4 linked regions of the Sus scrofa genome follow. The protein of the gene in region 2 interacts with the protein of the main gene of each other region in a biochemical or structural test. Links are inferred from orthologs where the notes say so. Each region holds a gene or a part of one and is shown on either strand. Other genes may lie near its edges.

Region 1 (5,997 bases), on a different chromosome or scaffold from region 2:
CACCCAACCCTCTGACCTTAAGGTCGCAGGTGGTGTTGATGAGCAGGTTGGAGGGCTTTAAATCCCGGTGGAGCACGTTGGCGGAGTGGATGTATTTGAGGCCCCGCAGGATCTGGTAGAGGAAGTAGCAGATGTGGTCGTTGCTCAGCTGCTGGCTTTTGAGCAACTTGTACAGGTCTGTCTCCATCAGGTCCTGCACAATGTAGCTGCAGGTGGTACCAGAGATTCCCCCCCCCCAGGTGGGGGCGGCAGGTGGCACTTGGTTAAGAAAAACAGGCTCTGGTGACTAGGATGCGCCCCTCCAGCTGATGCCCCTGGGACTTAAAGACCTGCCAGCTAACCCTAACCCTAACCCTAACTTAAAGACCTGCCAGCTTATATGAGCAAGGCTCATACTCAGCAGGTGGGCTCAAGACCTCTGCTGGCGCTCAGCTGGTGACCCCTGAGCAAAGCACTTCAGTTACGTGGCTTCCGTTTCCCTACTGGGAAAGGGAGGACAATACACTGCGGGAGGCAGGAGAGCGTCACAGTTAAGAACAATAGCTCTGGGGAGTTCCCTTTGTGGCTCAGTGGTTAAGGAACCCGACCTGGATCCATGAGGATGCGGGTTCAATCCCTGGCTTCGCCTCAGTGGGTTAAGGATCTGGCATTGCCGTGAGCTGTGGTGTAGGTTGAAGATGCAGCTCAGATGTGGCATTACCGTGGGCTGTGGCCGGCAGCTGCAGCTCTGATTCGACCCCTGGGCCGGGAACCTTGATATGCTGTGGGTGCGGCCCTAAAATGCAAAAAAAAAAAGAGCATCAGCTCTGGAGGTCACCTGCCAGCATCTCAATCCCTCCTCCACTGCTAATGGGTCTTATGACCTTGACCATCTATGCCTCTATTTCCGCATCTGTAAAGTAGGGAAAAGAACTCTTCTTTAGAGGAGTTCCCGCTGTGGCACAGCAGGTTAAGGACCAGGGTCACCCCAGGTGCCATGTGGGTTGCAGCTGTGGCTTGGAGTCGATCCCTGCTTTGGGAACTTCCACACGCCACTGGTGTGGCCAAAAAACAAATAAACAAACAAAAAAGGAATTGTTCTTTAGAGAGGGTTGTAGAGATAAGCTGAGATGATCCACGTGGAGCACCAGCCAGCGCCAGGCATGTTTTAAGTGCTTGGCAAACATAAACTAGTATGGCTGTTATAAAAGCCTGAGCCGCACGGCTGTTGAGAAGGTTAAATGAGATACTGTATGAACACCATCTGGCATGCAATACATGTTTGCTTAAAAATAAATGCCTGCCTTCTGGGCATGGTTTGTGCAAGACAAATGAGGAGAAACCCCCAACAGCAGGCTCCTACTCAGGGTGCTTGGCCATACACCCGAAGATCGAGGGGTATATGAGTCCTTTTAGATCCTAAGATAAAACAGATTAAACATAAAGAAATGTCACATGACTTGTTTCTGGAAGAATAAATTAGGACTGTCAGAATCGGCCTCAAAAGGGCCTTCTGAGAACATCCGGACCAACCCTGCTGCGTTGTTTGTTGTTGTTTTTTCTTTCTGCTTTTTAGGGCCACACCTGCAGCATATGGAAGTTCCCAGGCCAGGGGAAGAATGGGAGCTGCAGCTGCCAGCCCATGCCACAGCCACAGCCACAACCACGCGGGATCCGAGCCGAGTCTGCGACCTACACCACAGCTCATGACAATGCTGGATCCCCAACCCACTGAGGCAGGGGATCGAACTCGCATCCTCCTGGATACTGGTGGAGTTTGTTACCGCCGAGCCACGACGGCAACTTCCCCTGTTTTAAAGATAAGGAAGCCCAGCAAGGTGCAGTGACTTGGTTAAGGTCACACGGGAAGCTGGGGGTAAGCATGGAGATTTCCTGCCCACACTTTGTGGTGGGGGCTGCAGACACTGCAGTACAAATCCCCACTCTTGGGTGGAGGACTGGGACTGGGGGGTGGGGTAGGGGAGAGGCAATGGGTGTTACGAGCTGCTAACAGTGCCAGGCAGGAAGTGGACAACAAGCTAGGAAAGTGGCAATGGGGGGAGGGCAACGAAGGCAAGGCTGACCCTCCCTGGGCAAGGTGCAAGTCCACGGGGGATCAGGGTGGGGATCTAAGCGGGAAGTCCCAGAGACAGGAGGACAGGTTCTCATCTGGGGGAAGGGTGGAGGCAGCCACAGGCACCTGACGTTGGCCTTTCTGAGCCTCAGTCTCCTCCTCTTTGAAATGGGGCTGATGAGCCCCAGCGCAGAGGGCAGCTGGGGGTCAGATTAAGAAATGTCGACGCACTCGGTGCACAATGCACCCAGACTCATAGTAGGCCCTCAAAAAGGGGGCACTTTTCTTCCTTCGAGTCCGAGGACCCAGGCAAGAAAGAATCGCCCTCTGTTAAACAAAAGAACTGACTGTGGGCAGAGGCTGGGTCACGTCACAGGACGGCAGATGTCACAAGACAAAGCTCCCATAGACACCATCTTCCCCAGCCCCCTCCTGGGGCAGAGCTTAGAGAACAGACTTGCCCAAGGCCACACGGCCTGGCCGGTCCTCGTACACCTTGTGGCCTCTTTCTGCTGGAAAGTCTGTTGAACTGGGGTTGTCTGGAAGGGTGGTAGGGAAGAAGGAAACAGAAAGCAAGCCAACATTCTCCCAGCCCAGCTCTGAAGCTGTGCCCGGCCAGCCGTCTGGCCAAGGTGAAGGATACACATCCCTCATGGCTTCCAGGGTGGGTGCCCGCAGAATGTCTCGGATGCCAATGACGTTCTCGTGGCGGAAGCGTAGCAAGATCTGGATCTCTCGCAAGGTCCGCTGGCAGTAGGTCTGATGCTCAAAAGGGCTGATTTTCTTGATGGCCACTCGAGTCTTGCGCACATGGTCGTAAGCTGAGCTGAGAGGGCCGGAGAGATGTTGGTGGTGTGGCCTTACCAAGCGGGGGGAGTCCAGGCCCGGCGGCGGGCCCCACCCAGGCCTTGGCAGGGAGGGGAGGGAGCAGGAGAGACTGGCCAGAGCCAGTCATAAACAATGCTGGTTCCTTCCTGCTGTGAAGGCCTGGGATCTCCAGGGAGAAAGCTGGGGACCAGCCAGGCAGCCCTTCAGTGACTTCACAAACAGAGGAAGGGACTGACCGATCGCTGACTTCCCTTCTCCTCAACCCTTTCCATTCTAGTGGCCCTCACCCCTCATCCTCCCCTTCCCCGGATGGGCTCCCTCTACCCAAGACAGGGCCAGGGGCGGGAGGTGTGAGGGACATACAGGGAGGCGAATCCAGGAAGAAGGAGGGATGGGAGAGAAGGGATGCAGCAGGGGCGGGTGTCAGGGGGAGGTTCCCGGGCAGCAGAGCTAATCCCTGATGAACAAAGGCCCAGGGCCCCCAGTGGGGCTGGGAGAACTCACAGAGCCCTCCTGAAAGTTGCAAGAAGGCACTCCGGGACCCCCTCATTGCTCACTGGGTCCCTGGCCCCAGGCCCAAAGCCCTGCCCCACCCTGTCCAGCCCTGAGCTCTGCTCTTCTCTCCCAAACTCCTAGATTCGACTCCCGGGGGGCAGATCCCAGGCGCCCTTTCCCTGGGAAGGGTCCTTCCTGCCGTTTTCACCAAGGATATGACCTCCCCCAGAAGACTTATTCTCTTCTCTTCGCCCTGTGGCTATAGACTGCCCAAGGTCCCCACAGCTCCCCCACCTAGAGGCCCTTCCCTTCATTAGAGAAGGTTCCCCTCAAAACCCCCCAAGCCCCCCTCTTCTTAGATCGTAGGCAGCGCCCCCTCCCCCAGAAAGCACTCCAAGGCCCTCTCCCTGGGGCGCTCTCCAGCCTCCCGAAGCCCCTGCGGCTTCACGATGCTCAGAGACCCCAAGGCCTTAGAGAGCTCTCAGCACCCCTCCCTGGGATCGCCCTCCTCTAAGACGCCCCCTCCCCTGGAACGCCCCTCACCTGACCATGCCGTACGCGCCCTCGCCGATGTATTGCAGCTGCGTGTAGCGCGGGCCCACGTCGAACGGCTGCCCCTTTACTATCTCCACTTCCCCCGGGACCCCAGGGCCGACCCCATCGGCTCCCCGGGGCTCCCCGCCCCCGCCCCCCTGAGCCGCCGCCGCCGCCGCCATCTCCACTCCTCCCCTCCCGCCCGCCCGCCTCCCCCCCCGGCGGCCCCGCCCCTTCCCGCCCGCCCTGTCACCCGCGGAGCCGCGCGCGCGCCAGACCCCGCCCCCGCCCGCCCCCGCGCCCGTCACGTGACCCCCACCCCCCCGCAGCGGCGCCCAGCTTTCTGGGCACGGATGCCATGGTCCCTGGCACTTGTGGGCTCCGTCTACTCGGTCAATCTAGAAGCTCCCCAGGGCCGTCTGAGACGGTCCAGAACCCCACTCCCCCCCTCCAATGCAGAACAGCCAGTAGGGCCGCCCCAGTGACCTCACCCAGAGCCACCAAACAAGGGCTGGGATGAGGGGCCAAGACTGGGCCGCCTGGTCCCCGCTGCTTTTGCCAGCCCCACTCAGCCCGGCTGAGTGGTCCGGCTCCAGATGGAACCTTAGGGGACCCTCACCAGCCCTCTGGCGTTTGGCCTCCCTGAGCCCGGCCCGATGCTAAGTGATCCCATGCATATTTCACAAAAGCGGTGGGAGATGGCTTTCTCCTAGAGGTAGCCTGCCTTTCACAAATGAGGAAACTGAAGGCTGAGCAGCGCAAGGTCCTTTGGAATCGCGCAGACAACTTGAGATCTGGAAAGCCCAGGTGTCCGGACTCCCAGCCTAATGGCTTTTGACTGGAGGCCTGCCAGAGTGGGCTAGGGACCTGGCCTCAGCACCCAGGCGGTACTGGTATCCCCAGGATCATATCATTGATGATCCCATGCTTCCTTTACAGGGAAAGGGGGGGAGAGTCCAGAGAGCTGCATGCAAGGTTGACACGATCAGGCTTTGCCCAAATATAGCAAGACGGGTAACTTTTTTTCTGTCATTGGATTTGGCAAAAATTGGAATCCTGTTAAGATCATCATATTTTGATTCTGTATGAGACTTGAACATATACTTAATACTTGGCCCACTCTAGTCGCTTCATTAGAACAATCCCACAATATAAACGTCAACTGCTTTTCTTTCTTTTTTTTCTTTTTGCTTTTCAGGGCCACACCCACGGCATATAGAGGTTCCCAGGCTAGGGGTCCAATTGGAGCTACAGCTGCCGGCCTACACCACAGCCACAGACACGCCAGATCTGAGCCGTGTCTGTGACCTACACCACAGCTCAGGGCAACACTGGATCCTTAACCCACTGAGCAAGGCCAGGGATCGAACCCACAACCTCATGGCTCTGGTCAGATTTGTTAACCACTGTGACACGACGGGAACTTCTCATCTGCCTTTCTTAACTGGGTAGGCAGGGGCCATGTCTTTCTTGTTCATGGCTGAATCCTCGACCCTCAGACACTCAAAAAAAAAAAAATTAATGGATGAATCAAGTTTTACAGAACAGGAAATCTGGAGTTGGGGAGCTGAGACTCAACATGGTGTCTTCTGACAGAGAAGCAGAGGCTCTTTTTAATTCCATTCTGTTTCCCAGAATCAGAGTCTGCTAAAAAACTGGAGAGAGGGCCCACCCAGTCCATCTCCCTTACTTCACAATGAAAATATGAGCTGGGAGTTTCACAAAAACACATCTCCTCGGCTTTAGTAAGTAATCACGTTTTTTTTGGTCTCCCTTAGAAACTGGTCCTTGTATGCCTTAAAGATCGAGACAAAATGGAACAGTAATTATGATTCTGAAATTGGTCACCATTAGATATACCACCAGGCACTTGATTCAGATTAATAAGACCGAGTCACTGGTCACCAATAGCCCCCAAGTCAATGAAATTTCAAGATACTAATTAGATCTTTTTTTTTTTTTTTTTTTTTTTTTTTGCTTTTTAGGACAACACTGGTAGCACATGAAGGTTCCCAGGCTAGGGATTGAATCAGAGCTGTATCTGCCGGCCTACACCATAGCCACAGCGACGCAGGATCTGAGCCGCC
Region 2 (6,006 bases):
TCATTACTTTTCCCTTGCTTACGGTTCATGAGAAATACCTGATGACTTAACAACCTTAAGTTTATAATCGATTCCTCTCCACAGGAATGAGCCCTCAGGCCAAGTAAAGCCCTCAAGATAAGAATGACTTTACCTTCTTTTTAAAGGATTATAAACAAACAAAAAAGTACATGTAACTGAGACTATAAGTGGCCCGCAACGCCTTAAATATTTACCATCTGGGCCTTTGTAGAAAAAGTTTGCCAATCCTTGCTCTAGAGCATCAAAAGCACTGGAAGTATAGAGACTCCAAGGACACTGCCTAGAAGTGCTCCTTTCTCATCAGATTAACTGAAGGGGAAAAGTTTCCATTAAGTCAGTTCCAAATGATTTAAAGAAAATCATTGCTACTTCTCTGACTTGCCCTCAAGAAAGTGTTACCCTCAAAAGGTTCTACTTCGTTCTTTAGACTCAATAGTTTCAGCTGAGATGCTAGGTAGCTCTGGAAATAAATGCAAAAGATCTGAACTCTTACCTGAGGCATTTGCTATAGCCAAGGGCAGGCTTGGAAGCTGGTGCACCTGGATTCCCGAAGCACCCAATGCACTGAGGTTAATGGTCTGGAGGCCAGGCATGGAGGAGAGTTGAGCAGCATTCACAGTGACTGTGCCAGCAGGGATGGAGGCAGCTGAGGCAATGGGTGTAAGGGTGGTACTGCTGCTGCTGGTCTGCCCCAAGGAAACACCCTGCATTGGGGCCAAGGTGATTGTCTGGGCCTGTGGGTTCTGAACTTGGAGGTTCTGCAGCTGAAGAGTCTGCCAACTGACCTGTCCATTGGGCCCCACTGTTGGTGTCCGGATGATGATGGGGCCAGAGTTTGGAACGGCCTGAAGCTGAAGGTTCTGGAGGGTTTCCTGGGAGATAGCTTGAGTTGTGAAGGTCTGCCCTGACAATGGCGTTGCTTGGAGAGCCTGGAGGGCCTGTCCACCTTGAACTAACTGAGGCTGGATAAGAATTTGTTGTTGTTGCTGGGTCTGCTGGTTTTGCTCTCCCTCTTTTTGCTGACTTGCTTGCAGTGAGCCTCCAGATGTCTGGTTCTGCTGGATGTTCAGAGCATCAGACCCCTGTAGCCCACTGACCCTCTGTGGTGTCTGGCCTTGAGAGTTGGTCCCTGTTGATCCGCTGGTGGTAAAGTTCATAATTCCCATGTTGCTGGTGGTAGTAGTTGTTGAGTAGCTATTGGCATTGGTGAAAAAGGAGCTGGAACTGGCTTGTGATGATACCAAACTGGCAGAACTGATGGCAGTCCCGGAGGTGACAGGCTGTGAGCCACTCTCTTGGGACCCGGAGCTGCTAATCGTGACTGCCTGAGAACTAGGAGTCAAGGTAGCTGCAGAAACGCTGTTGACAGGTAGCAAGGTAATATTACCATTCAGGGCCACTGGTACATTGGTCACATACTGAGTCTGTCCTGAGAGTACATTATTAGCTAGGCCTTGGAGGGGGACAGCCTGCTGGAGTAGGTTTGGCATAGCAGCAATGATGTTGCCTCCACTTCCTCGATTTGTGATGATCTGTTGGTTTGCACCTGGTATGATCTGTATCTGACCTGAACCATCCTGCTGTACTTGGGCCCCAGTGGCAGCAAACTGCAGCTGTTGCCCATCAACCGTCTGGAACTGTGGGATTACTTGATACTGAATATTAGGCATCACTCCAGGCAGTCCTGTTAGGACTTGCTGGTTCTGCAGGTTGGATGTGGCAGCCACGACATACTGCCCACCAGAGACAGTGCGATTCTTGGAAGACTCACCACCATTGTTGCCATTGGTACTGCTGCCACTTTGTTCCTTCGAGGTAGGGGTAGCCCCAGAGGAGGAAGAGATGATCTGCCAGCCATTGGCACTCTGGGAGAGCTGTGTGGCTGTGAGGTCAAGCTCACCTGTGCTCCCGGACTGGCCTGGGCCCTGGGAGTTGTTACTGTTTTCATTGGGTGACTCAATTCTGCTGCAGGTTGCTGCCAGCAGAGCCAAAGGGGATGGCTGGGACTCCTGGCCAAAAATAAGGGAGAGGAAAGAGATTAGTTTAGTGACACCAGCTGCCAGCCCTGGGGGCAGTAGAAAAAAATAAACAGTAAAAAAAACCCAAAATAAATAAATAAACAGCAAAACAGTGCCCCCCCCAAGCAAACAAAAAGCCAACCTATCTACACTGCTGAAATTTGAAATTCTCATCTTTGGGGATCTCCAAGTCACTTGTCTCTGTACTTACTTCCCTATCTGTAAATTAGCCCTTTCCTAAAAATTTTTTTGTGAAAAGACAATCATCTAAGAATATCTACATCCTCTCAACACGATGCCCACTCTGTCCAGATGATCACCTACCTGCCCTCCTCCTCCTCCACCGCTGCTGCTACTGCCTGTGCTGCTGCTTCGAGCCTGAGAAAAGGCACCACCATTACCACTGCCCCCATTATTGCCACCAACTCCTTTTTCAATCTTCACCACAGCTGTCATTTCATCCATGGAGTGATCTTGGTCTAAAAAGAATTAAAAGATAACTTAAAGTTGGGGAAAGAAAAAAGATAAAATGAAGAAGGGTAAGGAAGACTAGGACCAAACAAAAATGACTAACAGGAAGGTGAAAGTCCCAGTATTTAAACAAACAAACAAAAAAGGATTGGGGAAGAAGAGACAGCTGTAGGGCTAGGAAGACCTGAACTGGGCCCCTTGGTGCCAAAACTGGGCCGCAGTTCTCCCTCGTACAAAATTAAACTCAGAAAACAATGAAAAGGTGCTTTTGGTATAGACAATGTAAGGGTCCGTGGACATGTTGAAGGAGTTTAAAAGTATCCTGCGGGGAAAAAAAGGAGAAATATAGATAAGGCATAAAACATGTGGGTGGATGGAAAGCTTGCTCAAATTAGGGTCAAAGGAGATGGAGAAAGGGAAGAATTCAAGTGTAGAAAGTCACAAGAGGAAAGGAAGGGGAAGGAGAAAAGATGAGATAAAAAGTTTTGTAGGGGGGAACATTTGTGAATACTAGAAAGGGGCTAAAGAGGTCCAGGGGTTAGAAATCAGGAGTTTCGGGGCGGACAGAGGGCGGGCCCTAGAAGGAAAGGGCGGTTTCGGGGTGAGGGGCGTGGAAAGGGCGGGACGGTAGGGGGAGGGGTAATCTACGGGGGGGAGGGGTAACCTTCGGGGGGTGGGGGGAGGAGGGCCTTGGGGCCGGCGGCGACCAGAGGGCGGACCAGGGAGGCGGTTGGCCCGGGCGGGGCCTGCACTGCTCGGGCCGCCCCCGCGGCTCCAGCCCCCGGCAGGAGGAGCCTCAGGCGGGCGGCCGAGTAGTGGGGGGTAAGGCCCGTCCCCCGTGGCTGGGGCGGGCAGGGGGCGGGCGAGGCCACGCTGCCCCCTCCCCCGGGGCGGGCGGCCCATCCCCCTCCTCCTCCGAGGCCCCGCCACTGCCCCTTCTCCCTCCCTTCCCTCCGCCCCGGGCGGGACCAAGGCCGCCGCCGCCGCCTCCCGCCCGCCCCCCTCACGGCGGGGACCGCCCGGTCGGCCCTCGCGCGCGCCCCCTCACTCCCCTCCCACCCCTAAGCTTGGAGTGGACTCATCCTTACCGCTCATGGTGGCAGCTGAGGGACGAGCTCAAGGGGGTCCTGTCCGGGGGGGTTGGGGGGGCCAGGAAAAACGCGGACGCTGACGAGGCAAGCGAACCCGGACCGGACAGGGAGGGGGGGGTAAAGAGGAGGGAGCAGCGCGCCACAAGCCCGGCCTAGGCCCCGCCCCTCCACTGCTGCCCCGCCCAATAAGGGAGGGTGAAAGGAGGGACTTGCAAAAGAAAGACAGGCAAATTACCCAATGGCGAGACTCGTTTGCTCTCTAAGGCGTGTAAGACAAAGTTGCGTGCGTGGTGTCCGCCCAAAAAGGGCGCCCTCTCAGTTTTAAAAGCCAATGAAAGGTGCAGGAAGTGAAGATAGGCGGGATTTAGAGATGATAGGCTTGGAGAGAAACCAGTCAACTGCCAGGCGGGCTCGCTGAGACGTAGGGATAGGAAGGGTTTTCATTGGAATGACAGAACAGCGACCAACCAAAACCCTGGGCAAGCCTGGGCAAAGTCCTGGTGGGAGGTGGTAAAAAGTAGACAGGAATGGGATAGGATGAAGCTTATCAAAACCAATCAGAAATCAGGCGGGCGGCCAGGAAAATTATGATTGGATTAACACTGAAAAGAGACGCGCTAGGACACAAATTGACGTGAATAAAAGCCAATTGAATGCTGCTTAAACTGTGAGGGCGGGAACCTGGAGTAGGCAGGGGAGAATTGGCGGCTGCTTCAGTCACTCAGCCCAATGAGGCAGCGAGGGAAGCCAGGCACCGCCTCCGGCTTGGCCAATGGGCGTTACTAGAGGCGCCAGTTGTCGGGGAGGTAACAGGGCTGTGCCAAGAGGAGTCCGTCGCCATTTTGGCCCTCCTCTGGGGACGTCTTTACCGTGATTAGGTGGCAAGGCTTCAGCAGAGCCCTGCAATTCAACAAGTGTCAGGGCCGAGCCCCGCGGCGCGTCGCATTTCTTCCTCGACATCAGGGCTTGTTTGAGTCTTCACTTAACCGCTTTTAAAAGTACCTCTCAGGTCTCCCCCCTCCGCGGTGGGCGGACTGGCAGGCGGATGCCTCAGAATATGGTGTAACCCCTGTGGGTGCTGGCGCAAGGAGATCTGGCGAGGGCGCTCATACAGTAGGTTAATAACGCACTGACCAATTTGCAAGGTCTTTGTGAGACTCCAGCAAACGCCATTTTACTAAATTCCCCCAAAGTTGATAGCTACTTAAGGCCGGTTAACTCTTCGAGAGCTTGCTTTTGAGGCTAAAGAGTGTTGGAGGACTTCCTGGAGTTCGAGGTCCTGTAAGCTGCTACCCCACCCCCGCCCCTGCCTCTACCCCGTAATTGTAAATAACGTTTAAACATAAAGCAAGTAGCCAGATAGAGTGCCTGCTTTTTGCAACTGCAAAGGTTAGAGGTGATTTTTCCCGAAACACCTGAATTTCTGGCTACTCATTCTGCCTCTCCTTTACCCTAGTTTTGGTGGAGGCAGCCTGCGTGGCCTGTCAATAACATAAAGCCATTCTCTTTCGCCCTTGTAGGTTCTATGTTGCCACTTCATTATCTACAACTCGGCACTTCTCCATATTACTATCATGTCTTAAAGTATGGATTCCCGAAAACTGAGGCCTCTACTGCTTTGGGCAAAGCCTGAAGAAGGTGAATGTTGGAATTCCCATTGTGGCTCAGTGGGTTATGAAACTGACTAGGAGCCATGGGGACGCGGGTTCATTCCCTACCTCGCTCGGTGGGTAAAGGATCCGATCGCGCTTTGCCATGAGCTGTGGTACAGTCACAGACATGGCTTGGATCCCACGTTGCTGTGGCTTTGGCCTAGGCTGGCAGCTGCAACTTCGATTTGACCCCTAGCCTAGGAACTTCCATGTGCAGCAAGTTAGGCCCTAAGAAGCAAAAAAAAAAAAAAAAAAAAAGGTGAATTCCTACAGCGTTAGGTACCTAGGGCATCTAGGCATCTTGGCATTCCTTATGTCATTCTCTTAAGGAAGATGTTAGTATTAGAGACAGTATGTATTTTGTAAATGAAGATATGGAGGCTAAGAAGTAACTTGTTCAGGATCACAAGCTGAGATGTAGTGTCAGATTCCAAGCCAGAATAGGCCCACAAAAAGTCTTCTATGAATCCTTAAGTCAATAAAACAATGCCTTGTATAACCATTTATAAAAATGAGCTTAAGGAGTTCCCGTCGTGGCGCAGTGGTTAACGAATCCGACTAGGAACCATGAGGTTGTGGGTTCGGTCCCTGCCCTTGCTCAGTGGGTTAACGATCCGGCGTTGCCGTGAGCTGTGGTGTAGGTCGCAGACGCGGCTCGGATCCCGAGTTGCTGTGGCTCTGGCGTAGGCCGGTGGCTACAGCTCCGATTCAACCCCTAGCCTGGGAACCTCCATATGCCACGGGAGCGGCCCA
Region 3 (6,007 bases), on a different chromosome or scaffold from region 2:
AGGTCCCAACCGTGCCCAGCCCCCACTGCCTCTCCTGGGCCTTTTGTGCTGAGGAATCCCCCTCCCTACTCCAAGGTGCCCGCCCAGACGAGGGCACCTTGGCCGGAGGTGGGGGGAATGGAACCTCCCTCCACCCCCCTCCCCTTCTCTGCAGATGTCCCAGACTATATTTAGCTCAAACCGGGCGGCCAGCCAGACCCAGACTCCCCACTGGCCCGGAGCTGAGCTCCCAGTTTTTATGCAATTAAAACATTAACAGAGAACCGCCCCCATCCACACATCCCCACGCCCCCCATCCCCGCAGCAGTGCTCAGGAAACTTGAACAGGGGCGGCCCAGTTCCGCAGTCAGTGATGGAGGTGGGGGGGGGTCGTTCTAGGCAAATAGCAGTAAACTCGTCCCCTTGCCCATCTCCCAGGCCCTGCCCCCACAGTCGGGATAGGGACATCATCCGGGAGATCAGGTTGACACTTGGGGGGGGGCAGGCTTTCCTTGTTCCGGGGCGGAAGGGAAAGGCATATCCAGTGGGTGGGGGGTTGCCTGGTTGCAGAAATTCCACCTGTCATTTTGCAGCCCCCCTCCCTGGCCAGCTCCAGTTACAGGGCTGGGGGTTGGCAACAGGTGCTGGTCAGGCTGGCAGCAGTCTAATCCCCCACCGGCTCCCCAGGCTGACACTGGTGCCTGGAGGTCCCGGCAGGGGGCCCTGGGGGGCAGGATGCTGGCGGGGGTGGGGTGGAAGGTGGGCAGCCCAGGCCCCTTCTGTAAGACCTGGGCCTGTGGACTCTGCAATGTGTGTTGGAGGGTCTGGGGAAGGCAAAACCTTAGTTCCAAGGCACCTATTTCATTTCCCCACGATGCCAGGCAGGCGGGCTAGAGTGTGGGAGGTCTGTCTGCCTGCCTCTTCCTCCTCCTCCTCTCCAAATTCCAGGAACAGGCCAGGGAGGCTCCAGTTGCGGAGAGAGAACTCAAGCAGGCGGGCCCAGCTGGGGGGGGTGGGGGCGGGGACTGGAGCGGGAGGCCAGATCCAGACGGAGCCAGAGACACCCACACCCAAGCCAGACGGGACAGACACACCGACACTGACACATTCTCACACTCTGGGCCTGGTCCCCCCATGCCAACCACCCTGCAAGGACACCCAGACTCCCTCTGCCAATCCAGCCAATCCCCAGAACACTCCCTGGACACACAAGGAGATCTGGGCCCTCGCCCCAACCCCACATCCCCCCACAAGCCCTGTGGGCTCCACACAGCAGCCAGAGGGTGGAGAGGGGAACAGAGGGAGGAAAGACAGCAGGCGGCCGAGAGGACGGGTAGCCAAAGCCCTGGGAACCAGGGTATCATTGGCCACGCTCTTTTCCCAAAAACCCAGTAAGTCAAGACAATCCTGGCTGTCTTGCCAGGGGCCCTGCCAACTTCCCACACTCCCCAAACCACCACTACCAGCAAGGGCGTGGGGTGCTGGGCGAGTGCTGCTTGCTCCATTTACTCTTCACGGGGACAGCACGACCTTCCCCAGTCCCCGAGAGTGCTCCTAAATGGACCGAGAGTGCTCCTAAATGGACCCGGCAGAGTCCCAAACACACCCACCCATGCAGCACCGTCTAGGTCCTGCCCTGCTCAGGCCACGCAGAGGACAGGGAACTGGACGCTGAGGTTTTACCTGTGGGCAGTCCCCAGCCTGTCACAGAGTTCTGAGGACCACGCCACCTAAGACCCTCAGATCTGAGCAAGAAGTTGCGGGGGAAGGGGTCCAGCTTCCAAGACCAAAGGATTTAGGGGAAGGGGAGCTAGTTAACTGGGGTCTGGGTCAATGCCCTCAAAACAGACCGGAAGGGCCATGCAGACAAGGCCCTTTCCCCCACAATAGACAGGGTGGCAGGAACCACGTCATGGCACATGTGGGTGACTGTGCCCGGCGGGGGAGGCATGGGGGTGATCAGGATGGGGCTGCCCACAGCTAGCTTCCTGCCAGGCTGCCACATGGCTGCAAGTAGGAGGGGGTCCAGAGAGGTTTCCCAGATGGAGGCAGGGGCATTTAGGGTCAACAAGAAGGATGGGGATTTAGGGGCTATAAGAGGAGGTGGCCAGGATTAAGCCGTTCCAAGCCCAGGTTCTTCTCAGCACTGCCACTGCATCTGTCTCACCCTCGCCAGTCTGGCAGGGAATGTCCTGAGGTGACCACCTCATGGGCATTTATTCATGCCCTCAAAGTCCCTCCAAATCCAAGATCCCGAGCTCCCAAGGCCTACGAAAGTCTGACCCCAGTGACGGTGACTGCTCTGTTTCAGAACCAACATGGCCCAGACACTCAGGAAGAACTCAGGTCCTCGCCGCCCCTCCCAGTGCACCAACATCTTTCAAAGCCACAAACTCCCTGACTCCACAACCACCACCCTCCTGCTCCCTCCTGCTCCAAATACTCTTTCTCTGGTTCCCTCCCCCAGACTCATCTCCACCCCTCCCAGGGGAAGCCCCAATGCTCCAAGCCACCCCCACTGCCACCTGGGGCTTCCCCGGCCCAGCCTCCCCATCAAGCACAAGGCCGTGGAGGAGAATCTGGGGCTTGAGCCCATTTCCTAGCAAGACTTGGTGTCCTTCCTGAACCACTTCCCCCCAAACACCCCGGCCCATGACCACGGCAGCCAGGCAGCCAGGGAAGCGGACAAGAGACTTCACTGAATCGCCTAACCAGGAAACTGGAGGAGGATGGCGGTCAGGAGCAGAAGTGAGGGTTGGGGGTAAGAAGCAGGGGGTGGGGGTGGGGTGGGGGAGTGTTTTCAGGAACAAGGCCCCTGAGAACATACACGGTACAACATACACGGTACACAGGCACACAGGCACACATGTGCACACGTCTCCCAGGCAGAAGGCAATCTGGTTACAGAAGAGGGAGCTGGCAGTTGGTGGAGGCCCAGGGTACCCCTCCACGCCAGCACAAAGGCATGCTATCCAAGGTAGGCTGGACAGTGGACAAGTGTCTCCAAGACTGGGGGCTTTTCTTGTATGATTTCCACATGAGCTGGTTCTCATCTCCAGCCTAGTGCACGGCCCCCTTCCCCCAGAGCAACCCGACAACAGGGCCATGCCCGGAGAGGAGAAAGGGCACTGCCAAGCAGATTTTCCAGCTTCCCCCTCCCACATACACATCTGGCTAGCAGCTTCTCCACCTCGTGGGTGGCACCAGGTCCCAGACACCCTGGGCAGAACCAAGACAACCAATCTATTCCATCCTTCTCATACCCCCACAAGCTTCCACAACCCCATGGTGCCTACAAACCCAGAGACATCCCTCCCCTGGCTGCACTGGCTCCCCGTACCCAATTCTGACGGCTCCCCGCACTCCACGGGGGACACCAGCTGAATGGGCCCCGCCTCCCAACTGGCTGCCTCAGATGGGGTGGGCCCCCGGGCTGATTCTCCCCAAACCACAGGGCGGCTCAGATAACAGCAGGGAAAGAAGGAGGGGGCTAGTCCGTTGGGCATCTGATCTCTCCCCAAACAGGTTTGAAAATCTTTTTGTTTTGTTTGTTTGTGAAGAGAAAAAGCGAGAGAGAGCAGGAGTTCCCAGCGGCGGTTCTGCCACAGCTCGGACGCCTGAGACACGCGCGGCAGACGGCCCCAGACGCCTCACGGCTGCGCGCGAAGACACGGGCGCAGACAGACTCACAGACGGGGCTCCCCCACCCCGAGCACGGCGGCGGCGGGTTGGGAAGCCCAGGAAACCCCAGGTGGCCGTCCGAACCCGCCCGGCACTGGGTCTCTTCCACCCCGCGGGTCCTATCAGCAGCAGACCGAGGGGCGACGATGCCTGCGAGGGCCCGGGGCTCTCCAAAATCCCCGGGGGGAGAGGTTACCTCGCAGTGGGGGGGGACGCAATCCGTCCCGGTCGCCCGCGGGCACAGCGTCTGCCCTGACCCTGCGCCTTGGAGCCGCTCCGCGTCAGGGGTTGCGGGGTCCAGGGAGACGACCAGTTGGGGGGGGCCGCGGCTCAGGGGCGCGGGGCGAAAGCAGCGGCCATGGCGAGTCACGTGCGGAGGCTGAAACTTTACCCGGAGCCCCAGACTGGGGGGGCGGAGGGTACCGAGCCGCGGGGAGGCCCTCAACCTCCGGTCCGCCCCCGTCCTCCCACAGACCAATCACCATCCAGGGGCGGGCCCACAAGATCACGCCCCCCTTTCTCCCTAATAGACCCAGGGAAAGGGTGAGTCTTAAAGGAGCCGCGCCTAGCAGAAGCTGGACCGTGGGAATCTGGGAGAATCCCTCCCTCTGCCCCCAAAGGAGAGACTCAGGGCGAGGAGGCGAAGAAGTTCTGCGCGAAGAACGGAAAGAAGGCTCAGTGGAGAAGGGACGGCAATGTGTGGTATCACACTCCCTTCCCTCCGACCACACACACCCACACTCACAGGGGCAAGTATCTCACACACACACACCTCTTGCACCTAAGCCGGGGTTACACAGACACACACACACACACACACAACCTCTTGCACCTAAGTCGGGGTTACACACACACACACACACACACCCTGATGGCACCTAAGCCGGGGTTAGAGAGGCGGCAACGTAATATGGAAGTGAATACAGTGACTCCGCCCCTAGCTGTCAAGCCCCTAGACTCCCATAATTATAATCTTCCTCGAGGAACCCCTTGGAACTGAGAGCTGTGTGACCTTGAACAAGTCTCTTTCTTTTCTCTGAATCTTAATTTTCTTACCGGCAAAAAAAGGAGTGCCAGAGCAGGTAGACGGCCCTCAGGCACACCTCCTCGCCTCTCCCGCCAAATAACCTCTCCGGCTCGAGTGGGTCGGAGGACCTTCGGCCCAACCGTACCCCTCAGCGATCCCTAGTTCCCTTACCCCCAATGGACAGCGGCTCGTGGATCTTTCAAGAGCCGAGTAGGGGGCGCCCAGGAGCACTCGTACATGCAAGGGACTCAGTCTCCAGCTTCTTTTTCCTGGCCCAGGCTGAGGAGCCAGGAAAGCTCGCGTTCTTGTTCTAGCGGGGCAGGATCTGAATCATTCTCTCTGCGGAGACCTCAACCCCCAGCAGAGCCACAATTCCCCTCCCAGCCTGTGGCTCCATTTGGAAGGACCATCTCCCCATCTACTGGGGTGGGGGGCGGGGAGGAGGAAGAGGAATCAGTAGGGAACACCCCTCCCCTTTCCTGGTCGGAGAAGTGGCCACAAGTGCCCCCCACAGGACTTCCCACTGGAAGGGGAAGTGCCACACTCTCAGGCGTCCACCCCAGTGAGGAGGCTCTCAGCCTGACCCGACTGGCAGAGCTCTCAAACCCATCGGCCCGACGGCCCCTGCTTTACAGACAAGGGACCCGAGGCTGGGAGTGGACACGGGTGTAGCCCACGATCGCACCGGCACCGGCTGCACGGCCCTGCCTAGGATTGAGGTATCTGACTGTCTCTCTCCAGCTTTAGGCCCTCGGCCTTGGTTAGGTAGGACAAGCAGTGTCGGCGAGACGCTCTGCCCTGAGGTCCCGGCGCAGAAGAGCGCCCCAGGGCGGCGCTTCCCCAGGCCTCTTCCCGCCTGCTGGGCCCGGCCGTCTCCCGCTCCCGTCTGGATTTCCATCCGCCGGTGCGAACCGCCCGCCCAGCCCCGCCCGCCCTGTCCCGTCCAGATCCATCCGCAAACATGCGCTCAGCGGGCAGGAATGCGCCAATGGCTCCCAGATGTGGACTCCGATGCTTAACCCCTTCCCCCCCAACACCCCCCTCCCCCGGCCTTCTAGCTTGAGTCCAGCCAGCAGCAGGGGGCGCCAGCCAGATGAGGGACCAGCCTGGGAGGGGACTCAGTGTCAGCTCCCGCCCCCCCAACCCCACCCCGCACAGGCTCCTCCTGGCCTAGATTCTACCTGTCTTCTTTCCAGCGGAGGCTAGAGGGGAAGGATCACCACGGCCACAAAAATGCAAGTGTGCATAAACACGTCTACTGCCTCGCACGAAGAAGGGTGGCCTTCACATACACCTGCCACACGGGGTCAGGTACACTCG
Region 4 (6,180 bases), on a different chromosome or scaffold from region 2:
CCTAAATTCTATCTTGTCTCTAACTGCAATACACATAATACATTTATGTTTCTAGACTAATAAAATTAAAAATTAAGGGTCATAATACAAAAGAGTGATGTGATCCCATTTACATGAAACCTGGGAAAGTAACAGCAATCTAGAGACAGAAAGCAGATCGGTGGTTCCCTGGATGGAAAAGGGGAGGGAGGGGAAAGTGGGAAGTTGACTGGGACAGAGCACCCAGAACTTTTGGGGGGGGGGTGACAAAACGTTTTATATTTTCATTGTAGCAGTGGTTGCACAGGTGTATAAATTTGTCAAAATTTATCAAAATGTACACTTAAAACTATACATCAACAGAGCTGATTTTTAAAAATAAAGGTCAGGAAGGAATGTCCTATTTTTCAACATCCTCCCACCCCCACTCCTGCCAAATCCCCTTCCTGTATCAATTTCTTTTTTCCTTGATCACTAATTTCCAGGAATTTACATTTTTCTGGAACCTCAGGGAAATGACTAATAAAATGTCATGCAGATTTTCTTCTTAGTTTATCCTGGTAATACAAATGCTTCAATTTAAAAACATAAATCCATTGTATTTTAAAGGGTCAAAAAATGAATCAGCTCCAAACCTAACAGCAATTCTCTGTCACATTAAAGGAGGGACGGATTCAGCTGGGAGCATGATACTGCCACTGCTAATGGTGAAAGCTGTATGCAACCGGCGGACTCTATTGTAAACTTCAGTTCGGAGAACTGCAACATAATCTGACATCATCTCTCCTCAAGTGCTTCTCTGCCCAAGATTATGGAAGAATTAAGTCAGCAGGATTTAGTCTGTCTAGCTGTGGCTCCTAACCCAAAGTTTTTTTCCTCAAAGAGAAAAAGTGTGTGTGTGTGTGTGTGTGTGTGTGTGTGTGTGTGTGTGTGTGTTTATTCTGGTTAGCAAGAAAATTTCTTTCTCCTACTTCAAGGTGCAGAACCTGAAATGTAGCTAACTACTTAGAAACCCATTCAGTGTGGACCCACACACATTTTAAAGCTAAGGCTCAGAAATCCAACCAACCCAGCCATAAGTAAGTGAATTACCATATTTGACAACCACTACCAGGTAGACCAGAACAGTAGCTTTCAAATTTTGACAAGGCTCAGTAAGAAACAAGAAACAAGTTTCATATCACAAATGCACATGCAACATATTAAGTAAAATGAAAAGTCTCAGTCAGGACTTAGAAGTGTAACATAAGATGCACTGTAACATTTTCCAGTCTATCGTAAAAATATTACCAGCACTGGCCCACTAAATTGACTTCACAACTCAACAAAACAGGTCCTGATCTGTTTGATAAAAGGCTAAAAATCAAAGAATTGTTCTGCTTCCCCATCATTCAAAAGGCTTCTGGACTGCAGTTCCTAATTTGCTCCTTAATCTCCACTAGGTGATAGGTGATGTACCACCTATCAGACACTGTCCTGAAGGTTTTAGAAATAAAAGGAAAACTCTGACGAAAATTCTAACTTCAAAGAGTCTTTAAACTTAGTAAAAAGTAAAAGTCTGTAATGAACCCCTGAGAGAGAAACAAAGCAATATGAAGTTTGGATGACAGAATTCTTCCAACTGGGGTAGATAAGAAGGCTTTAGAAAAACATGACATCTGATCTGTCTTAAGCATGAGAAGGCTTTGTCCATGTGATTGGGGTGGAGGGGAATGGAGTACTCCAAATGAAGACAGCATGAAGGGCAGAGAAGTTTCCACATATGAACAGCAGACTAAAAGGCCACATGTTGAGAGAAAGCTAAAGGCCAGATTACTGTCTCTCGAAATTCCAGGCAAAGAAAGTTCTGCGGGCAAGTGGAGTCTCCAGAGTGGTCTACAATGATCAGAGCCTAAGTGTCTCTTAAAGAAGTTCAGCAAAAATAGTTGCTGGTTTTAAAGTGACCAGCTATAACCATTTTTAAGTACCAGGGTATCTATCTAGTCCAAAGGCCAATGTATGTGTTCTAAAATCTAAGCCATAGTACACCATCTATTAATAGTTATTTTAAGAATTAAATAAATTTTTTAAATGATTTAAACAATCAAAAACTCATTCCAGAAAGTGAAAACAAAACCTGTCCCCAAATTTTTAGCAGTGGAGACAGTACTGGGTTAGCTTTCTGAAACCTACCAGTTGGATGACCTGCACATGAGATTATAAAAATGGGCACCATACACAGCCTACTCTATGTGGCAAGCACTGCTGTGCTACATGCTTCTCAAGTCCTGGAAAGGAAATCTCCCTTTCTTCCATCAACATCAGCCACTGCTGTGGAGCAGAACCCCATAAGCCAGAAACTTATTTCTCCAATCCTAGGGAGTTAAAAATGCTCCTGGATTTCTCCTGTCTGGATCGCCACAAAATAACTGCTTCTGAAAAATTCCCTGGCAAGATATACAAGCGTTTTTTTGGTTTGTTTGTTTGTTTTTACCAAATGGGCTTTCCAGCATAAACTCTTCCCCCTCCAACATACAGCAAAGTTTGGAGCGTTGGCACGTGCTTCTTTATGAGCAATGCTCTTCCATTTCTTATCGTCCGAAGAAATCCCATCATCCTTGCCAGTCCAAAGAGTGGCAATGCAGAGCCCTCCGAGGCTGTTGGTAGCTCAACACGTCAGTTGACCACGGAACTGAACTTGGTCCGGTTACAGCACAAAACCGTAAAGTATTAATTACTTGGTCACCTGTCAATCTCCACCAGGCTGGGGAGGTTCCTATCGACCTCCTTACCCACTCTCCTCTCAGCACATACATGGATGCTTGGTACACACCAACTGCTCCATGCTCGGCTGTCAACAGAGATTTTCTCTCACCCTAACGAAAATCCCACAAGACCATTAAGTTTCTATTAACACCAACTGAGAAAACGTCAACATACTAGCAAAAAATCAAACCAAGGGATGGTTGTGGACTGAGCTAATGAGTGAAGCCTGATACATTCAAAGCGACACAGAGAGGTGAAAGAAAAAGGACTGTACTACGTTCCTAAGGGAGCGAGAGTTCACAAGACCAAGCAACAAGAAAAAATGCCAGTGATATAAAAACAAGTTGTGCAGCTTCCGGGAAAAAGAATGCACAGGGCTCGCAATCTTCGAAGACTGAAGTTCCAGGCGCCGAATGGACAGGCCTTACAGCCCGGGCAAGAAAGGCAGACTGCTTGGTTGGGCTCCAAGACGGAGGTGTGCGGTTCTGCCCCGGAGATCCGGGCGGGGAGGAGAGGAAATGACGAGCCTAAAGTGGGTGGTAACGGCGCCTGGCTGGAGACCCGGGCCGAGCTGGGAGGAGGGGCGCAGCCAGACCGGGGAGTGGGCGCACTAACGGATCAAAGGGACGGCGGGGGCGGGCCGGCCCCCCCCTCTCCGCGCCGCACGCAAGGCCCCGTGGCCGGGGCGCGCGTCCTCCCTGGGTCTCCCTCCCGACTCAAGAGGACTGAGATACCCAGACCCGCTTACGGAGAAGTGGGGTGCGCGGGCCCCGCGGGGAGTGATTTCCCTTCCAGGGCTAGAGCGTGGTGAGTGCTAGGGCAGGCTAAAGAGTGAGGCCGAACGACCAGGAGAAAACCGCCGAGGCCCGGGCGCGCGTGTGTGTGTCTGTGTGTATACCTGAGCGTGGGGGCCTTCGTGGCAGTCAAACCCGCCACCCCCGGGCCTGGAGCTTGAGAACCTAGGCCTAAGGGTAGAAACAACCGGGACGCATGGCCAACTGGCCCTGACACCCTGCAAAGGGCTGGACCCCAAGGTGCCTGCTCCCGAGAGCGCCATCCCTGCGCGGGGCAGCCCTCTGCAGGCCTCGGCAGGGAGTACCCCGGAGCGCTTGCAGGCTCCAAGCCGAGGCCGCCAGCAGCCCCGCTCGGTTAGGCTCAGCTCGACTCCCCGGGCTCGACGGGAGCCTGGGCCTCTCCTGAGTGGTCAGCGAGACCCGCCAATCGGGGCGCTGGGGCCGGCTCTGGGCCGCTGGATATTGGCTCCTCACACTCACCGTGCCTCGCTCCCCCGGTTCGCTGCCCGCGCTGATTGGCTCCAGTACCGGACCCCGAAACCCAATCAGAGGCTCCAGCCGCCGCTGCCGCCGCCACTGCCGCTGCCTCGCAAAATGGCGAAGCCGAACAAAGGGGAATCGGGCCTCCCTCCAACTGCCTCCGCGCAGGCGCCTCTGAGACCACGCCCCCTAACCCGAGCTCTGGGCTCGCCCCATCCCCGTTGAGAGAGCACTGCGCAGGCGTACGATGAAGCCACGCCCACTTCCCTAATTAGATTCCTCCCCCGGCCGAAGGAATACGCAGGCGCTCTCTTGACGCGCCGGACCCTTCAACTCAAAACACCGCCCTGAGCACAGGACCACGCAGGCGCTAACCAATTCCTTTGCCAACTGCCCACCCCTTCTATGCGGCCTCTGGAGACACACCCCTGGGACTAATGCGCAAGCGCCGCTCTATCCAACTCGCGGCCGCTATCTCGTTACGCATGCCCGGGCGGCGGCGGGATACTCTACGGAGTTTACCGCCGGAAGTTCGGCGACCAGCACCAAAGAGTGCAGGTCCGGCTAGCTAGCTAGAAGGGCTCGTTTCCGCCCCACTCCCGGGTGGTGGGCGGCCATTTTAGGTGCGTGCAATTAAGGACTGTGGTGGGATTGGCTCTACAAGCGGACTAGTCCGCTGGTCCCCACCTACCAGAGCCCTTCCCCGCGGGGCGGGACCTCCTAACGGCGGACTCCTTTCCAGGTGAAGGGTACCTGGTACGTTGGAGCTTTGAACGAGGCTCCCCGCTCCCTCCCACGGGACCCCGGACAGGCCATTTGGCCTCGCTGATCCGCCCCAGGGTAGGAGAGAGAATGGGAGGCTTCTCTAAACTTCCCCCGTTTCCCCCCAAAGATAGGGGGGAGCTTTCCTTGAGAGGCCGCCTTCTGTTTTCTCGTGCTCGCTCCCGCTGTATACACGCCCGCCCCCGCCCCCGTCCCGTTTGCTCCCTTGTTGCGGCTTAACGGGACCGTAGCCTTGGCCCACCTTTTTGCTTCTGGGCCACACCCAATGCGGAAATACTTTTGGATCGTGCACCGAAAAGGAGACTGCGAATCCGCCTTGCTCCGCGCTGGCTTGGGGAGAGGAGGAGGCGTGTCTTCGGGCCGCCTTTCTCTCCTGGAAAGCGCGAAACGGGAGCGGAGCCCTGCCGCCCCCCAACCCAGGCGTCCGCTTCTCTTTCTTGCCCAGAAGAGTTTTGCATTACTTTTTGAAGGCTGAACGAACTCCCATTCAGCGATAGGTGGGGGGCAGAAAAGTTAGTAAGTGGGTGGTCGGGGCAGTCTGAATGTAATATATTCAGGTTGCCTAAGCATTTTCACTTCCTTTCCCCTTCTTATAGCTGAAGAAACACTTAAATTCTGGAAATAGCGACTCTATCATGGCCGGCAGCCCTAATGAAGATTCAGAAGGAAGCAGAGTGCGTAACAACTATTAACTTATTGGTGAACTGAAATTCAGAGTAATTGAGGTCAAAAGCATAAACACTTTTTAATTAAACCAATAATTGAATTGTCTTTTTTTCTCTCTTCTGTTGATTTCCTTTAGAAAGGCCAATAAAATCCTAGGCAGAGGCCGCTCATCACTTTGTTTTACACATGCTTTAATTCGCTTTAGATAATTTTTTCAATTCTGAGGATTTGTCACTAAATCAAAAGGAGGAAGCGGGGAGAAGTGGTGGTGGGCACAGTAAAGGAAAATAAATAGCTTAGTCTTTTTCTGTAGCTTCGTCTTTTTTTTTGGTATCTAATAAAACATTTTCTTTCCCTTTGCACATTTTAGATTACTTATGTGAAAGGAGACCTTTTCGCATGCCCCAAGACAGACTCTTTAGCGCACTGCATCAGTGAGGATTGTCGAATGGGCGCTGGGATAGCTGTCCTCTTCAAGAAGAAATTTGGAGGGGTGCAGGAACTGTTAAGTCAACGTGAGTTCTGAGAAGAGCTCCAACTCATCTGCCCTGGCTAGAGCATCTTTTGACCTCCTGTTGTACTTGATTATGAAACAAGATATACCCGTATGGGTGGGATTCCAAACCACTGAGTCCTTTTAACCGTGAAGATTAGGTTTTTCTTCATAAAAAAACGGCCTCTAGTTTGGATCCTTTTCCTACCAAATCTGAGTTTTTGTAAAAGTCTTTAATTT

Evidence for each region. The genes of interacting proteins can lie anywhere in the genome.
Region 1: of the proteins of SP1 (region 2) and MAPK3, one has a biochemical effect on the other in vitro, tested with the Homo sapiens proteins (2 studies listed by BioGRID). The link is inferred for Sus scrofa from reciprocal best matches to the Homo sapiens genes SP1 and MAPK3.
Region 3: the proteins of SP1 (region 2) and RARA form a complex in vitro, tested with the Homo sapiens proteins (2 studies listed by BioGRID). The link is inferred for Sus scrofa from reciprocal best matches to the Homo sapiens genes SP1 and RARA.
Region 4: the proteins of SP1 (region 2) and NFYA form a complex in vitro, tested with the Homo sapiens proteins (2 studies listed by BioGRID). The link is inferred for Sus scrofa from reciprocal best matches to the Homo sapiens genes SP1 and NFYA.

What each region holds. Positions count from the first base shown.
Region 1 is NC_010445.4:18,295,298-18,301,294, forward strand, and holds the start of MAPK3 (mitogen-activated protein kinase 3), read right to left. Parts: upstream 4,114-5,997; 5' UTR 4,093-4,113; coding exon 3,920-4,092; intron 2,880-3,919; coding exon 2,697-2,879; intron 207-2,696; coding exon 17-206; intron 1-16.
Region 2 is NC_010447.5:18,586,540-18,592,545, reverse strand, and holds the start of SP1 (transcription factor Sp1), read right to left. Parts: upstream 3,784-6,006; 5' UTR 3,606-3,783; coding exon 3,599-3,605; intron 3,097-3,598; exon of another isoform or gene 2,695-3,096; intron 2,519-2,694; coding exon 2,364-2,518; intron 2,031-2,363; coding exon 515-2,030; intron 1-514. UniProt on the Homo sapiens protein: Transcription factor that can activate or repress transcription in response to physiological and pathological stimuli.
Region 3 is NC_010454.4:22,081,647-22,087,653, forward strand, and holds the start of RARA (retinoic acid receptor alpha), read right to left. Parts: upstream 4,114-6,007; 5' UTR 3,857-4,113; intron 1-3,856. UniProt on the Homo sapiens protein: Receptor for retinoic acid. Retinoic acid receptors bind as heterodimers to their target response elements in response to their ligands, all-trans or 9-cis retinoic acid, and regulate gene expression in various biological processes.
Region 4 is NC_010449.5:36,384,648-36,390,827, reverse strand, and holds the start of NFYA (nuclear transcription factor Y subunit alpha), read right to left. Parts: upstream 4,114-6,180; 5' UTR 3,999-4,113; intron 3,915-3,998; exon of another isoform or gene 3,623-3,914; intron 3,217-3,622; exon of another isoform or gene 2,495-3,216; intron 2,477-2,494; exon of another isoform or gene 2,453-2,476; intron 1-2,452. Other genes in the region: OARD1 (O-acetyl-ADP-ribose deacetylase 1), read left to right, coding at 5,417-5,455, 5,818-5,962. UniProt on the Homo sapiens protein: Component of the sequence-specific heterotrimeric transcription factor (NF-Y) which specifically recognizes a 5'-CCAAT-3' box motif found in the promoters of its target genes.